Caenorhabditis elegans: one gene and its partners. The protein of the gene in region 1 interacts with the protein of each later gene in a biochemical or structural test. Each region holds a gene or a part of one and is shown in the gene's direction. Other genes may lie near its edges.

Evidence for each region. Proteins that work in one complex are often made in the same cells at the same time.
Region 2: the proteins of ubc-9 (region 1) and arl-13 form a complex in vitro, tested with the Caenorhabditis elegans proteins (one study listed by BioGRID).
Region 3: of the proteins of ubc-9 (region 1) and gei-17, one has a biochemical effect on the other in vitro, tested with the Caenorhabditis elegans proteins (one study listed by BioGRID).

Annotation. Positions count from the first base shown.
Region 1 is NC_003282.8:4,649,513-4,652,975, forward strand, and holds ubc-9 (SUMO-conjugating enzyme UBC9), read left to right. Parts: upstream 1-1,531; 5' UTR 1,532-1,546; coding exon 1,547-1,600; intron 1,601-1,725; coding exon 1,726-1,848; intron 1,849-1,982; coding exon 1,983-2,073; intron 2,074-2,118; coding exon 2,119-2,272; intron 2,273-2,328; coding exon 2,329-2,407; 3' UTR 2,408-2,935; downstream 2,936-3,463. Other genes in the region: F29B9.7 (Pheromone-regulated membrane protein 10), read left to right, coding at 252-292, 342-488, 555-632, 682-765, 867-980, 1,028-1,091; F29B9.5 (Thioredoxin domain-containing protein), read left to right, coding at 2,947-3,027, 3,077-3,142, 3,197-3,342, 3,397-3,463. UniProt on the Caenorhabditis elegans protein: Accepts the ubiquitin-like protein smo-1 from the aos-1-uba-2 E1 complex and catalyzes its covalent attachment to other proteins with the help of an E3 ligase such as gei-17.
Region 2 is NC_003279.8:2,063,955-2,069,610, forward strand, and holds arl-13 (ADP-ribosylation factor-like protein 13B), read left to right. Parts: upstream 1-1,763; 5' UTR 1,764-1,794; coding exon 1,795-1,862; intron 1,863-2,749; coding exon 2,750-2,820; intron 2,821-2,880; coding exon 2,881-3,017; intron 3,018-3,221; coding exon 3,222-3,284; intron 3,285-4,083; coding exon 4,084-4,191; intron 4,192-4,290; coding exon 4,291-4,356; intron 4,357-4,402; coding exon 4,403-4,498; intron 4,499-4,550; coding exon 4,551-4,873; exon of another isoform or gene 4,874-4,914; coding exon 4,915-5,095; 3' UTR 5,096-5,140; downstream 5,141-5,656. Other genes in the region: rpb-10 (DNA-directed RNA polymerases I, II, and III subunit RPABC5), read left to right, coding at 351-444, 496-605; moag-4 (Modifier of protein aggregation 4), read left to right, coding at 1,114-1,215, 1,279-1,425; rplp-1 (Large ribosomal subunit protein P1), read right to left, coding at 5,175-5,339, 5,389-5,559. UniProt on the Caenorhabditis elegans protein: Cilium-specific protein required to control the microtubule-based, ciliary axoneme structure. Required for normal sensory cilium function. May act by maintaining the association between IFT subcomplexes A and B.
Region 3 is NC_003279.8:9,101,567-9,109,351, reverse strand, and holds the start of gei-17 (E3 SUMO-protein ligase gei-17), read left to right. Parts: upstream 1-1,769; 5' UTR 1,770-1,812; coding exon 1,813-1,884; intron 1,885-2,009; coding exon 2,010-2,045; intron 2,046-2,127; coding exon 2,128-2,241; intron 2,242-2,320; coding exon 2,321-2,350; exon of another isoform or gene 2,351-2,364; intron 2,365-2,654; exon of another isoform or gene 2,655-2,752; intron 2,753-3,032; exon of another isoform or gene 3,033-3,245; intron 3,246-3,291; coding exon 3,292-3,657; intron 3,658-4,327; coding exon 4,328-4,453; intron 4,454-4,509; coding exon 4,510-4,604; intron 4,605-4,649; coding exon 4,650-4,746; intron 4,747-4,830; coding exon 4,831-5,303; intron 5,304-6,039; coding exon 6,040-6,353; intron 6,354-6,454; coding exon 6,455-6,711; intron 6,712-6,949; coding exon 6,950-7,087; intron 7,088-7,348; coding exon 7,349-7,514; intron 7,515-7,679; coding exon of another isoform or gene 7,680-7,785. Other genes in the region: nduf-7 (putative NADH dehydrogenase [ubiquinone] iron-sulfur protein 7, mitochondrial), read left to right, coding at 837-914. UniProt on the Caenorhabditis elegans protein: Functions as an E3-type smo-1 ligase. Mediates smo-1 conjugation to air-2 in vitro and is required for proper chromosome alignment.

The DNA of each region.
Region 1 (3,463 bases):
TTTTTCTGTAATTATTGCTTCCAACTCTTCTTTTTTGCGCCATAATTCTAAACCCCTGTGCCATTGGGCGCCCCCTCAGAAGCCCGGTGCTCCTTCGTTTTTTCTTTGTTTTGTTTTTTTTCAAATCGGAAATATCGCTCTCTCAGAAATTGTGATAAATAGTACACGTTTTACACGTTCCATATGTGCCTTGCCTTACAATTAAAAAATGAATAAATTTTTTTCAAATTTAAATCATTCTTATTTTTACGATGAGTTCGAAAAGTGGTGTTATAGAGTTTCCGGAAGACAAGTGAGTTTTTAATTTTTATTTATAAATTTAAATTTTTGACTCTTTGAAGCAAATTTGTGCATACAAATATGGCTGATTACACTACGGAATTGCTTGATGGTAGTGAGTCAACTACAAAGAGTACAGCAACAGACGAACCACCTAATCAATTGTTTTTGTCATCGTTGCTTTTCTTGAGCTCTGCGATTTGTTCTCTGTGAGCTCACTAGCTATTTTCTACAATTAAACAATAATGGAAAACCAAAATAAAATTTTATTCCAGATTCGCAGCTTCAATTCTAGTTCGTAGTTTTCCATTTTTCGGTTCTACTCTCTCTTTGGTGATCATTCTAGTAACTAGGTTGGCTTTGTTCATCAAGAAAAATAGATCTAATTGGAACATTTTCTAGAGAATGGAATAGGATATACGGTGGACTTTTGAGTCCAAATCTGAAAGCAACAATCAACTATTCGACCGTTATGAGAGATCACAGGTACATCTGAATTCTAGAAAATCACCTATTGTATATATATCCTATATATAGGCATATATTTTGACACTTAAAATAATTAAATTTCCAACTTTCTAATTCAGAGAATACATTCCGTTATACGACATGGACTGGTTGTTCGGAGGAAGATACAAGCCGTACTATTATGGATGCACGGGACCTTCGAACAATCCGGACATGGAGAGAACGCCTGATGAGTGAGAAAAAAGTTTTTTATTTTTTGAAAACGTTATCATTTTTGCAGCCCCGGAAGTCGTTCGCCGACGAAAGAGCGCAAGGAAGGAGAGGTTTTGAAGAAGGATGACTGACTGGGCACTCTCATTCTCACACATTTTGCCGCGAATAAATATTATTTGAATTTCGCGCCCTTCGAATTTATAATTTTCTTGAATATTCTTTTGTGTGCGCGCGAAAACTGCGAACCGTTTTGTAATTTTCTGTTGCATTCTGTCGAAATTAGTTTTCGTGTGCGACACCATTGCGAAATCGCGCGCCGCACTATGCAATTTATTGATCGATAATACGGGCGGTGCTCGCCCCCCTTTTCGTTTTTTGGCGCGATATCCTATTTTTGAACTTTTTCGAGAAATTTCTCTTTCTTATCGATCGGATTTCTGTTTGAAAAATCTAAAATAGTTCTGACAAGTGTCACGAACACGCTGTTTCGTTTGTTTACCTCTCTCTTCTTTTCTCGTTGTGCCTAAAACTTCACTGTCCACTTCTCTTTTACAAATTTGATATTTTTCAGTGTAACCGAACAAAAATGTCGGGAATTGCTGCAGGACGCCTCGCGGAAGAAAGGAAACACTGGCGAAAGGTGAGAATTTTATCATTACATGGCAAGTCGGGGCGATTTGTATTACAAAACCGCTTTAAATCGGTTAAATTCTAAAAATTATCGAAAAATAGTTTGTTTTCATGCCCAAAACTCAACATTTTCAGGATCATCCATTCGGATTCATTGCCAAACCAGTCAAGAACGCCGACGGAACATTGAACCTCTTCAATTGGGAATGTGCAATCCCAGGGAGAAAGGATACGATTTGGGAAGGCGGATTATACAGAGTATGTGAAGCTAGAATTCGGAAATTATCATTTTTCGTTAATTTATTGAGCTATAATATTCGTGAACTGTTTCTCTCAAAAACTGCTATTTGGAATACAACGATATTTATAAATCTAATTCAATTTTCTTTCAGATTCGGATGCTCTTCAAGGACGATTTCCCGTCAACGCCACCAAAGTGCAAGTTCGAGCCACCACTCTTCCATCCAAATGTGTACCCATCAGGTTATTATTGCAGTCCAATAGTTATAATTAATTAATTGAATTCAGGTACCGTGTGCTTATCTCTTCTGGATGAAAACAAGGATTGGAAGCCGTCAATCTCAATCAAGCAACTTCTCATTGGAATTCAAGATTTGCTGAACCATCCAAATATTGAAGATCCAGCTCAGGCTGAAGCCTATCAGATCTACTGTCAGAATAGGTGAGTTTTTTTTATCTGAATATTATAAAAAAAATACACAAATGAATTTATTACAGGGCTGAATATGAGAAGCGAGTGAAGAAGGAAGCTGTGAAGTATGCTGCCGAACTCGTCCAGAAGCAAATGCTCGAGTAGATGCTTGCTTCGTGGTAGTCGTCTATTCTATTCTCCTTTTTCCTCCCATCCTCATTTCATTTAGTTAACTATTTCTGTATGCGGCAACGATTGTTGACACAACTCGAAATTCGAGCACCGAAGCAACTTTTCTGATATCTTTTATTTCAATCTAACCAAAAGCTTTGTCGTGCCTGGTTTTTCATTTCGTGGTTGATGAAATTCGAGAGCTAGAACATTTCGATGACTTTTTCCAAATTTCGTGTGCACGCAAACCCAATCATTTTCCACTGGTCCATGGGCTGAGTAGTCTTTATTCTTTCAAAAGACTATTCCTCATCATTCTTACTCATTTTGATCTTCATCTTTCTTTTTATCCCGTTCTGTTTTCCATCTCTTTTCTCTTCCCCCCAATTCTCTTAAAATCAGGAGCACAATTTAATTGTTGACAAATCCCGTGTATTCCAATTTTCTAAATGGACTTGATTATATTTTTTTTCCCTCAACTTATTTGTATTTTGCAACTCAACCATGAACTGTTCATGTCAGATTCTCCAACAATGTCCGAATTCATGAAAGGTGTGATGCTTCTGAAGCAAGACTTGACTGAAGTTCCTGCCGAAGAAGCTCTGAAGGGCAAGGTGGCGAAATATTAGTGTGTAGTGAAAGATTTTAGAATATGACATTTAGGTTGTTGCTCTTTATTTTTCCGCGGGATGGTGTCCACCGTGTAAGCAGTTCACTCCGAAGCTAGTTGTGAGTGCTGAATCTAGATTTTCCGATTTTCCAATGAGTTTCCACACCCTTCAGCGCTTCTACCATCATCTGAAGAAGGCTGGAAAGCCCATCGAAGTGGTTTTCTTCTCTCGTGATAGATCAAAGGCTGATCTTGAAGAGAACTTCACCGAGAAGCACGGCGATTGGCTCTGCGTCAAGTATGGAGACGACATTTTGACGTGAGATTTATCATTTTTAATTTCAGAGTCTCAAAAATAAATCATAATTTTCAGACGATATCAATCAAAGTTCGAGATCAAGACGATCCCAGTGCTCCGAGTGATCAACGCAGCCGGCAAG
Region 2 (5,656 bases), on another chromosome or scaffold:
CGAGTTTCTCTAATTTGCAATTCGATCTTGAAACAAAAAAATTCGAAAAGAAAATTGGAAAACCAATTTTAAAATCTTTGCTGCAACTACGGTCGACAACTGTGCAAACACCGCTGTGACAAATGCACTGAAAACACCATATTTCACGCGCATTGCGTATTTTGAACAATTTTCAATTTCTAGAATTTCTGCCCCCATTTTTTGTGATTTAACTTGATTTTCTTGAAGTTTCTCTTCAAAAACTTTACAATTAGCTTGTGGCAAAAGTGTTTCGTTCAAAACTTCACCAAAAATCTCGAAAAAGTGCAGTTTTCATCTTCAATTTTCGAAAATTTCAGCAAAATCACAAGATGATTATCCCAATCAGATGCTTCACATGCGGCAAAGTCATCGGCGACAAGTGGGAGACGTATCTCGGATTCTTGCAGTCGGAATACAGTGAAGGTTTTTAAAATTCTCGGATTTACTGAATGAAAAAAATCTCGTTTCTCTCAGGAGATGCTCTCGACGCGCTCGGTCTTCGTCGCTACTGTTGCCGAAGAATGCTTCTGGCTCACGTGGATCTCATCGAGAAGCTTCTCAACTACCATCCGCTGGAAAAGTAATCGGAGCCCCTTTCAATTGTTGTTGTTTTTCTGTTTTGTTGTGGCCGAATCTCAATTTTTACTTTTTTCCACCGTTTTTCCTCTTTTTCTTCACTAATTTCTCAAAATTTGATGAAACATTTGATTCAAGTTTGCTTTTTAAATTTAATTTTTGTCATATTGTATAATTGAGTTCACAGCTCATTCTTTATTTGTCCATGTGATGTGATTATTTTGCGAGAATTTGAGAATTTCCTAAACTACACCTCCTTCCACAAGTTTTCCTTCAAAAAGTTCCACGTGTCCGCTAGTCAGACTGTCTATCATTCTGACGTCTCTCATTTATCCCGCGCATTTCCTAATCTCGGTCATTTATGTCACCGAGACGGTCTGCGTTCACGACACTTTCTTATCGATTCTTTGTTTTTTTCTTCCAGAAAACCTCGTATACGGCGGCTTTGTCCATCGCTGACGGCGCTCCGGTGTGATCCGAGAAACACAGTTTTTGAGCAGCACAACTCCAACAAAAATGACTCGTGGAAATCAAAGAGATCTGGCTCGTGAGAAGAACCAAAAGAAACTGGCCGATCAAAAGAAGCGCCAGGGAGCCTCTGGACAAGACGGAAATGCTGTAAGTTTTCATTTCAAATTTCCAAATCACATATATATATCCAGTTGCAAATAAATATTCCAGGGTCTATCGATGGATGCTCGCATGAATCGCGACGCTGACGTCATGCGTATCAAGCAGGAGAAAGCGGCAGCCAAGAAAGAAGCCGAAGCCGCTGCAGCTGCTGCAAACGCAAAGAAGGTCGCCAAAGTGGACCCATTGAAGATGTGATTGATTAATTCTCACTTTTTTTTGATCATTTTTGTTTTATTTTATTCGTATTTAAAAAAACATCGTATGGGTTTCCCAAAAAAATGAATGCCTCTGTCTCCTTCTCCTGAAAAATGTATGATCACTTGGCAGCTCGCCAACCTAATCATTATCAGAGCCAGTTTCTGATTGTCTTCTTCGGCCGCCGCCTCACCTCATCTCTTCCTCCCACCCCGCGGCTTCTCTCCACAATTCTTGTGCTCTCTCGGGCTCTGGTAACTATGGCAACCGCCGCTCGTGAAAGCCGAGAGCAACTTCTTGCGTAACTAATCTCCTCGATTTCGACACCACACACTTTACCGCAAGGAAATGCGTAGAAAGTGAGAAGAAATGACCGAAAAGTCGTGGTTCGAAACTATTTTCTGCTGTTGTTGCCATCGTACACCTATTATCAGACGGTAATTCGATATTCTTAGGCTTATTTTTTTAAATGAAAATCGTTTGCTTGAAAGCATTTTTTATGAAATTTTGAAGATGTAAAACGGAAAATCCAAAAATGTTTCCTTATTCGAGGTTTTTTGGAAAAAAAATTATATTTAAAGTCGAAAATTCAGCTATTTTTAATATTTTCCGATCGATTTTTGCCATGAAAATATATTAAAAATTATTTTTATTCATTTATTTTATTTATTCTCCACTGATTTTCTTTTTTTTTGCGTTTTTAATGGAAATTAAAATGACAAAACAAGGTAATTGCAGAATGTTTGTTAAAAAATAATTGAAAAGGCGTAAAACTGTAAAATTATGATTTCCGACGACAAGCCTGAAATTAGTATATTTTACAGTTTTAGGCATTTTCAGTTACTTTTTAACAAGCATTTTGCATTTTTCTAGTTTATTTCTCGCATTTTCCGATAAAAAACACAAAAAAATGAAGAAAATAGGCCGAAAAATAAGAAAAATAAAATAAATAAATAAAAATAATGCAAGTGCGCTCCATCGAACAAGTTCAATTGGCGGAAATTCAAATAGGAATTAGGGGAAAACTGAGATTTTTTCAATTTTCAAAAAATCATATAAAATCTAGAAAAAATTTTTGAATTTTTTTATCATGATATTCGGTCATTGTGACGCCATATGCGTGTTTTAAAGCAATTTTCCCACATGAGAATTACACATCAACGAAACCCAGAAATTACAGTACTCTTTAAAGGCGCACACCGTTTTGCAATTTACAAAAATTGTCGTGTCGAGACGCAAATCCGCAAGTTTCCGCATCTGAGCAATATTTTTAGTTTGATGAATTCCCATAGATCGTGCCGAGACCCAATAGGTTTTTTTTCAGAGAAATCAAACTCGGATGTTTTGGCATCGGAAGCGCCGGAAAAACCACATTTTTGAAAGTTCTCAAGGGAGGTAAGCAAGTGCGCTCCGTCGCTCAATCCGAAATTATTTTAAAATTTGAATTTAATCCAGAAGATCCGCGGGATTTGCTCCGTACCAACGGGTTCTCCACAGTGAAAATGGAGTATGATGAGACTTTTCATTTGACGATCTACGATGTTGGCGGGGATAAGGGAATACGTGGAATTTGGAGCAATTATTATGCTGAGGTGTGTGTGTGTGTGTGCATGCGATAGGGCGCACTTTCACACTGGAGAATTTTTGAAAACTCTTATTACACGTGGATCTACAAAAAATGCGGGACTGATTTCGCATGGTTAAGAGCGTTTTGACGTCACATTTTTTTGGGAGAAAAATTCCCGCATTTTTGTAGATCAAACCGTGATTATTATAATTATTCTAAATAAATTAAGGTTCACGGAATCATCTATGTGATTGATTATTCAACGGATGAGACATTCACCGAGTCGATTGAGGTGAGAGAAGTTACGAAATTGATAAGGATTATGAATTATTCCTAAAAGTTATGAAATAAGATTTTTAGGCTCAAAATACGCTATCCGGTCTCGACACGACAACTTTTTGCAAAAAACTAAAACGGGTGTGCTCCTTTAAAAATTTTTAGGCAAAAGTACAGTAATTTCATTTACCGTATTTCTTCTATTAATATGGCCTCCCTATTAGACTTGCACTCCCTATTAGTATTGCTCCTTGAACACCCTCCGAAAATTAGTATTGCACTCCCTATTAGTGAAAAAGGCGGGGCCTAAATATGAGGTTTTCTGCAGTACACGCCACGCAGTTTTCTTATCTTGAGTGTAATATTGCACTCCCTAATAGTCTTGCACTCCCTATTAGTATTGCAAGCGGGAAGACCATCGAAAAATAGTATTGCAGCTATATTAATAGAAAAAATACGGTAGTTTTACAACTAAAACCGAGCCGCGATGCGACACGCAACGCGCCGTAGATCCACCCCAGATATGGCCGAGCCAAACTGGCCTAGTTCGGCAAACTCTTCCATTTCAATTTATGAGGAAATTCCATTAATTCCTAGGGAAGCCAGAAATTCGTGATAAAACAATTAAAACCACATATATTTTCGAAAAACTATGAAAAATCGGGCAAAGAACGTTTAAAACCACAGTAATCTTTAAAGGCGCACACCTTTTCGCATTTCACAGAAATTTGTCGTGTCGAGACCGGATACCGTATTTTCGGTCAAAATTTCAAGTCTCGGTAATAAATTACTTTTAAAAAATTATCATTCTCCAGGCTCTCCACTCCCTAACCAGCAATCCACATGTGCAGAAAAAGCCAATTTTTCTGCTCCTCAACAATCAGAACAATCGAGAATTTGATGACGTGGAAATTTCGAATGAAGTGAGTGACTTTGAGTGACTTAAATAATTTCCCGTAAACTGTCCCCGTCTTCTTCATCCCCCAGTGTTCCTTCTCTATCACGCAAACCTCTTTTCACAGACTAAAATCCAGGCGGGACAACACAAAATCGTACTTTTCTCGCATTTCAACAAGTATAACGGATATGTGAGTGCGCTTCAAGGTAGAAATTCAAAATTCCACCGATTTTCAGCTTGATAACATAAAAAGTGCCACATTGACGGTGATGGCGAGGGCGAAAAAGGATAGAAATGAGTATCAGGAGCAGTTTGTCAGATTCATCGATTCTGTAGGATTCCCATTTCATTTTCTAGAATTTTTAAAATTTTCCTTTTTTTCAGATTTCTGAGCACTATGTGGAATTATCCGAGGGTGTTAAAACCGCCGAGTTGGCGTTGAGGATCCGTCAGGAAGAAGCCAAAGAACAACGGAGACTGATGCAAATGAAAGTGGAGCACGATGCTTTGAAAGCCGACGTGGCTGGCCTGGAACTTCGGAACCAACCACCTGTGCAACCACCGATCCCGCCTGATCCTCCATCGGATCCGAAGTCCGCGTCGGTTCATATTGAAGAAAGTCCGCCGATGTCGCTTGCCAGCTCGACAATACCATCAGATATCATTCAGAGCACGCCTGAAACAGGAACTCCACGAGATCCTGTAAAGTGAGTCACATTAATTTACTTGAGAAATCCGATTGTTTCAGTTTTTGCAGAATCTCACAAACAAGCACGAAGCCTGTTTCGCCGGAATCTAACAGTGTTAAAGAAGAGCCAACTATCATTCTGAAAGACAACTATTTCTTGCCACCAAAAGCGCCTGGTCGACAATATAGCCGGATACAAAGGATTCAAAACGTTCTGAACAATCGAGTAGTGCCAAAATAACCTCCTTTTTTCACTTTTGAAGCCATAAACACTTTCTTGGTGTTGTTAACAGATTTATTGAAAACAAATAACAAGATCTTTAGTCGAAGAGACCGAAGCCCATGTCGTCATCGGATTCCTCCTTTGGCTCCTCCTTCTTCTTGGTCTCGGCAGCTGGGGCGGCTCCTCCAGCAGCTGGAGCAGCAGCGGCGGCGGCTGGAGCTGGTCCAGATCCGGCTCCGGAAGAGACAGAAGTGATGAGGTTCTGAAAACAATCGGGGTGAAACTTGAATATACTTATGAGAAATCCTTACCTTCACATCAACTCCCTCGAGAGCCTTGGCGAAGAGTCCTGGCCAGTATGGCTCGAACTCGACGTTGGCGGCCTTGAGAAGGGTAGCGATCTTCTCGCCGGTGATGGCGACCTCGTCATCTTGAAGGATGAGAGCAGCGTAGACGCAAGCCAGTTCTTGGTTCGAAGCCATTCTTCAATCGTAAGTTGCGCGGTTTGCCTTAGCTCCAAAGAGAACAAACGTTTGATAGAACGCTGAAAGAAAGTATTAATGCCACAAAGTGACCAGG
Region 3 (7,785 bases), on another chromosome or scaffold:
TTGAGTTTTGAATCTTTTTTGGAGAGTCTAGAGTTTGTTTAGTGGCTGGCTTGATGTCAGTATTAGATCTCACGTTATCGTATCAGCACACCACAGCTAATTCATTTTCTCTCATTATCCATATTTATTTGGTCCACCTGTTACACAAAAAACGCACTCAAAATCTGACTGCTCAATTAAGGATAATGAGTGTCCAGATCTCGTGCAGGCTCATTTTCCATTAATTGAGTAACAATTTGTTTCAGTTAATGTCTGAAAATATTCCAAGAAAAGCGTGTTGCTATGTTCAAAAATGAATTTTAATAATTCTATGACGTCATAATATGTACCTCACTATAATCTCGACACCCCATCATTATCAAAACTGTTTTTTTCGGGTTTTTCCGAAAAAGATTTTTGAAAAAAATTTCCCAATTTAAGAATGGTGGGCTAAGGACGGCATGATGTAATCGCGCTCCACGACCGATTGTAAATATTTCGAAAATACGTGGGTGCATGTGTACTCAATTATTGATCGAATTGGCGCGAAAGTCTTGTGTTGTCTACGCTCTCTTGCATACCATTGAGTCTTTATTTCTCTATTTCTGCTTAGTTTCTCAAGCATTCACTAATGAATATTTTGCCGTATCTAATGCAACAACAACTTGGTGTTTTGTTTAAATCTTTAGCTCTTCGAAATACTTTATCACATTCTGACTGTATCAGCGAATTTCTAATACATTTTAAATTAGTGAAATTATCTGAATAGCTTTAAAAATATTCCTAGCCTGCAGTCTTTTCTGAAAATATGTTTCGTCTAATAAAGAAAATAATTTTAATATAAAAAATTATTCCAGGCTCTTCTATACGGAGTTCTCCAACTTCAAAAGAAGATCAAGCGTAAGCGAGAAGCTCAACTTTGGTACAGACGCTAAACAGAACACGAGGCGAAAAGAAAGTACGAGAAAGTTGGAGAACTGTGAAAAAATTCGCAGAAAAATGGTCATTTTGTACGAGTAAGCCCCACTTCATTCATTTTTTGTGTTTCTCCACCTTTTCTCCATTTTCTTTTTTCTAGATCTGATATCGATAGTTTCGTTCGTTTTTTTCTGCGGTTTACTTTTTTTTTCGAATAGTGTCTATTTTTACCTCATGTTTTTTTTGGTTGAAAAAAAGTCGATAACATTTTTTTAAAGTTCTATTTTTTTCTCTCATTTTCTTTGGAACGGTTAACAACGCCGACCCTTTGTGGTTCTCTTTTTATTTATTTATTCATATTTTCACAAAGTCTGTGAATTTTTATATAGTGATTTGAAAGGAGATCACGACGCACTTTATAGCGCCGCCAAGTTTTTTTTTTTGGATTTGGTTTTTGGATTGAAAATAATACAAAAAAAGTCTGTGTGGATTGAAAATTGTATTGCGCAAATTCAAAAACACAAATTTTCTGGCGCCTCTTCTGAAAATTGCTGATCCTTTGTCACGGGCACAAACCTATCGTACACATTGATCTCATTGATTTCCTGAATGAGTTAACGTGAGTACGTTGAAATATTTTTTGCAGGATTTTGCAAAACTGATTCATCAGGTGTGCCCGTGTTTTTTGCGCGATTTTGGTCCATTAACTTCCAAAATTGGGAAATCCACACGGAACCGCGCTTTTCGAAACGCTTTTTAGGGAATAGAAAAGATCACATTTTTCTACTTTTTGTTTGTGATATTTTCACTACTGGACCATTCAAATTCGCCTTAATATCCCTTTTCCGAATCTGCAGTTTTATATTTTTCCGTCGTTTCGAGACACAGCGGAGGATCGGAGGTATTGAAATCAATATGTTACCGAATAATCAATGGCAAATACCTATAAACAATGGATTAACACATCAGGAAAATATGGCAGCACACGTGAGTTATTGGAAAATTATTGACATTTATTAAATAGTTTAAAATTCTTGTATTTTACCCAAGGATTTTTCTGTTCCAATCTGTTATTTTTCAAAAAGTAAAACTGATGGATTCCAAATTTTCAGGCAGCCGTCATGAAATTGAGAGTACACGATCTTCAGGTTAGATACCGTTTTTAATCAATCTTTATTGTTCAATACCTCAACGAGAAGGCGATGTGAATCAAGAATTTATGAATTTCAGTCGATTATCTCGCAATTGTCACTTCGAAAGCCACGTCCACAAAAATCGGAGCATCAGAAGGTCGTCGTTGAATCCTTGCGTGATCCTCATCATGCTCGGCAAATTTATCAAATGGTCATTTGTTTTTCTCGTTATTTTATTTATGTTTTTTTTTAAATGATGTTTTACAGCATTAATTTTCTCGAGTTTACAGGCTTCCAATTTCCCGAACGGAAATTATGAGGTAAGTATGAAAAAGTTAAATACTTTCAGTTAAAAAAAAACTATGTCAACTTTGATTAAATAGATGTGTGAGGTACTTTGGGTAACGTTTACCAGTGTTCTACCTCGGAGGAAATTATTCATTCACCTAGTATTGTCTCTTTACTCACACAATAAGTCTCGCATTTATCTCCACTAGCATCCTCATACCCACCATATATGTAGCCCTTTGTTTCTCTAAGTTTCCTCAAATATTTCATCCATTCTGCACTTGCTTCCTCGCAGCTCCGGCAACGGGACTTTCGCCCGTAATAAGGTGTTAAAAACCTCAAAAGCAGTGGATCTTCGAAAATTTCTTAGTTGTACTTTGCCCTGACCTTCTTTCCATGTTTCATACGTGTAGCTTGGCGCGTAGTTTTTCATTACAATTTTTATTTTACTAGATTGATTCTTTTGAATACTGTCACACTTTTTTGAAAATCAAATTCAAATTTTCACTCCTAAAGAGGTATTTGAGTTTTTTAATAATTGTTTCACTTTGAAAAATCGATATGGAAGCGAATTGGCACGATGTCGCTCGTGAGAAACTGGGAATCGTTTTTTTTTTTGTTGTTATTTCACAACAGTTGATTCGAATGCGCGTAACTATTTAAATCAATCGAATTTTTAGTTGGCTTATTATTGAAATTTTACTAAATTTTAAGAAAGTCCTGTTATCAAAACTCCAAAAAAACGGCTAGGTTTATCAATATATATCATTTCTTCGCAAGCACCTCTCCTGATGACATGTGCGCTCTATTGAGAAACAAACGTTCAAAAAATCTCTTCCGCTTTGTTTTTTATTCCCAAATGTATTTTTGCAAATGTTCTAATTGTCTAAAATATTCCACATATTTAAAGTTAGAGCCTAAAAAATTGTTTGTAAATCGTTTCTGTTTTAATAACTAAATTAAAAAATGTCAGATGCAGAAGCGACCTGCAACAACATCCCAAGTTCGGTCTCATCCATATGTGCTGCCATCTCGATCTGGAGCTAGTAATCACTTGGTCAATCATCATTATCAGCAGCAACAACAACAACAACCACAGCCTCACAATCTACTTCATCAACAAATGATGGCGTCACATCATTCACATCTGCAACAGCAGCACCATCCGTCGACGGTGAGATGGCTAACTCCTGAACTGCTCGAAGAGCAACTGAGGGGCTCGATGAGATACGGCGCTCCCGCTGCTGCTGCTGCTACCAACGCGCCGCTCCATTCATCTTTTCCTAATCATGGACGTTCTTCTCAGCAAAGTTTGCAGAAGTCGGAAAAATCAAATAGGGTGAACATTTTCGCCGCATTTTTATTGCCTGAAATTCACGATAAGAATGAACGCAAGAATATCGAGGCGGAAAGCATGTGAAGATATACTTTCGGTTTATGACCGTAACGGAAAATTTACCTGAAAAAATTACACTGGTAGCTTCTTCTGGGCACATATATCATATTGGCCAGTCGCGGTTATTTGAAAATTCCTCAATCGTGATACATTATGCAAACAAATGTCCTACCGTTTATTGAATGCACTTTTTTGAATTGCGTGTAGCATTCAAAAAAAAGAAAGAAAAATTCGAAGCTCCAAGATTTGCACGCTGTTATCACGAAATTTTCTGCATGATTCCGAATGGCGTAAAAACTAGAACAAGTGTGGTTTTAAGATATTACAGTATGGCATTCTTAGGAGCATGTTCATGAAGAAAAGCTTAATATGATAATCCTCTCTAGGCATTTCTTCATATTGCCGTGCTCAATTTTCAAATAGTTTTATTTCCAATTAGTTCGTAGTAGCATGTAAAAGTGTTTTTTTACTACCAAAAAGCAGGCATCATTAGAAATTGCGCGGCATGTGTTATACAGTTCGCTCACACGAGTTCAATGTTATCACCTGAAAATTGCTTTCAGCGTCTCTTTCTTACATTCCCACATGTCTAACCCATGTATTTTTTTTTCAGCCGAAAAAAATGTATGCTGATAATTTTGAACCGCTTCCACTTCCATTCTACGATGTTATTTCTGTTTTGCTGAAGCCTGTCGAGCTGCATTCATCAGACAGTCCAACTTTGAAGCAAACAAAACAGGTTGGTCTCAATTTACTCGCTCTCCAAGCCGGTTACCTATTAATTACTAATTTCAGTTACAATTCCCGTTCTTATTGACTGCTGAGCACATCTCCAAGATTTCGTATCGAGCTGATGTTACACCTCTTCCACGATATGAATTGCAGTTGAGGTACGTTTTATTATCATTGAAATCGGTTTAAATCCTTGTTTTCAGGTTCTTCAATCTTACTGAACCAGTTCAGGGTCCTCAAAAAGACGACTTTCCACTCAATTGCTACGCACGTGTTGATGATTCTGTCGTTCAATTGCCGGTATGAGATTTGAAACGTTCACGAAATATATTTAATTTCAAAATATCAATTATTGTTAGGAGTTACTATTTCTTCAAATTTCAGAATGTAATCCCAACAAATAAGACAAATGCTGAGCCGAAACGACCATCTCGTCCAGTGAATATCACTTCAAACATGAATAGATACAAGAAAGAGCACACAGTTGCAGTCGAATGGTTAGCCGACAAACGTGTATGGGCAGCTGGAGTTTATTTCGTTCATCGTGTTAACTCGGATATTCTCTTTAAACGTCTTAATCAGAATGTATCAAGACATCGATCACTTGAGGTTACCAAGCAAGAAGTGATCAAGAAACTGTCTGGAGGTGAAGATGATATTGCTATGGATCGTCTTAATATCAGTCTTCTTGATCCACTGTGCAAGACAAGAATGACAACGCCTTCTAGATGCCAAGATTGTACCCATTTGCAATGTTTTGATCTCCTCTCATATTTGATGATGAACGAGAAGAAACCAACGTGGCAGTGCCCTGTTTGCTCGAGTAACTGCCCATATGATAGACTTATTGTTGATGAGTAAGTTTTCAATTCACACTGACTAACTTTGATTTTAAAAAAAAGCGAATTATCTCAATTCTATGTTTTCATTATTTTTCTATTAACTCTTAGATACCGTTCCCTCACTTCGAAATTTCCAATTCTTGTGAAGACACTATTATTTTTCCAAACACAATTGTTATCTATAGCGATGGACAACACCCTTAAAATAGCCATGATGAAACGGTGATTAGGAAATTCGGAAACGCGTCGTCTAAAATAGGCATGTATTTGCAAATATAGTCTACGATTATTATCAGTAGTTCGTATTGGTCTCCAACTCAAAATTCAGCTCATGACGTAAGAGAACATGAAACAAATGGCAAAGGTCAATCATCATAATTGAGCAAGAGTTTTAATGTGTAATTGAAAATTATTATTATTCAGAAATTCAAAATCCCTGTAAATAATTCTCAATCAATTAATAATCCAAATAGTGTTCTCACTCTTATGTTTACCATGATCCAGATTCATATTGTGAACAGTGCATCATGGACAAACAACAAATTCGATGGCTAACTTCATGCAGTTTTGTGTGAAGCTGTCTGTTCGCACTATTCGCTCGTTTTCTTAATTGGAAAATACTTTTTAGTCACGGAAATGCCTGAGAAACTGCTTAGACGTTACCCAATTCAACATTTTATTTAAGAAATATTCAAATATCAAAATAAAAAGCAATGTTCTGAGACTATGCAAATATTGTTTCATCTTTCAGTTATTTCCTCGATATGCTTGCAAAGGTGGATAAGAATACGACGGAAGTTGAACTTAAGGAAGATGGCTCGTACGATGTTATCAAGGAAGAAGCTTTTTGCATCTCAGATGATGACGACGATGACGTTGTACCTGCTACTGTTAACGGTACAGCGTCATGCTCTTCGACAAATGGCAATGGACTTGCAAATGAAGCAGCGAAGAAAAAACCAGCTGACGACGACATAATTACCTTGAGTGATGACGATGATGAGGAATTGAACAGAGGTATAATGAACTCTCTGAACGACAGCTTCTCTCCTGGCAGACACACAGGTTTGCTATTCAAATGGCGTGGTGTGAGACAAGCTGAGAATATTGCAGTTTCTAGCAATATCAATTAAAAGTATTCACTTGAAATTCAAATCTTATTTCAGCTTCCGCAGAATTGGCTGCTCAAAAGACACCACCACAGCAGAAAAAGAAGACGAAAGACGATGACATAGAGATTATTACTCTCGATGATACACCACCTCGTCCAGTAGCTGCAAGTGCAAATCTTCCAATGCGTCAGATGTCTCAACAGAATCAAATGCCAGTTGGCTCATCTCCATCTGGAATGGCCTCAACGCAAATGGGAATGAACGAGGGTGCAAGTAAAACTATCCGGGATGCGCTGAACAAAATAGGAGAAGTAAGTTCAGAAAAACACAAATCTTCAAAAGAGCCAATATTGTTAGTTATTTTCCATAGTTTTAAGAGGATTTGTTCTTAATTTGACTGAAATCAGTATTCTAGTTATAACTTATCCGTTTTTAACCAAAACTAATACAAAGATTGAATTATATATTTGATTATATTATTATATGATATTGTTAAACTAACATCTGCTTCTCCCTGTCCACACTCACTAAACTGTCTGTTTGTTGCAGCAGTCAGCAAATTCATCAACACAATCATCTCCGCTTGTTCAACTTCACCATACGACACATCCATTGAATTTTGCTCAATCATCTTATATGAATCCCTCTTCAGGATCTCAAACACCTACATCACAATACGGATATTCGGTATGCCAGCACGTGTTAATAGTCTACCACACGCACTAATACTCTAGTGATATTTTTTCATAACGACAGAACAAAAAAATCCTGTTTTAATCTCTTTTTTTTCTTTGTTCAAGCCCCTATTAATTGGATAAGATACTTAGATGATTGTCCACTGCACTAGAATTCTGTCGAATTGAAAAAAATGCACTAGTTTTACGTCTGGAATTATAAACTTAACAAATATTTTTCAAAATTTTTTAAAAATTGAACTCTCGTTTTCAGCCAATGATAAACCAGGCACCACACTTCCAAATGCAAAACGGGCTCATAGGGCGAAACAATCAAATGGTTCATATGCAGCAGCACCATCTTCAGCAGCAACAACAGCAGCAGCAGTCACCACAAATCATGTCTCCGTCTTTTTATGCTCAACAGCAAATGTCAAACGGTAATTTTTTGTACACCTTACAAAGTTTTTGTATATTATGTTTAAACATCAAAACAATCACTTCACGATCTTCAGTTAATAGCGAGTAAACTTGTTGTGTAATTGCAACCATCCTGCATGCAAATATATATTTATTTCCCTTACTTGGTTTGGCCTCACTTTCAGGTGACACCAATAACATCCAACCACCACGAATTCTTTCCATGGCTGAAATACAAGCAAATGCATCTCGACTTTTGGTAAATGGACACCTGATGATCGATCACTCAGG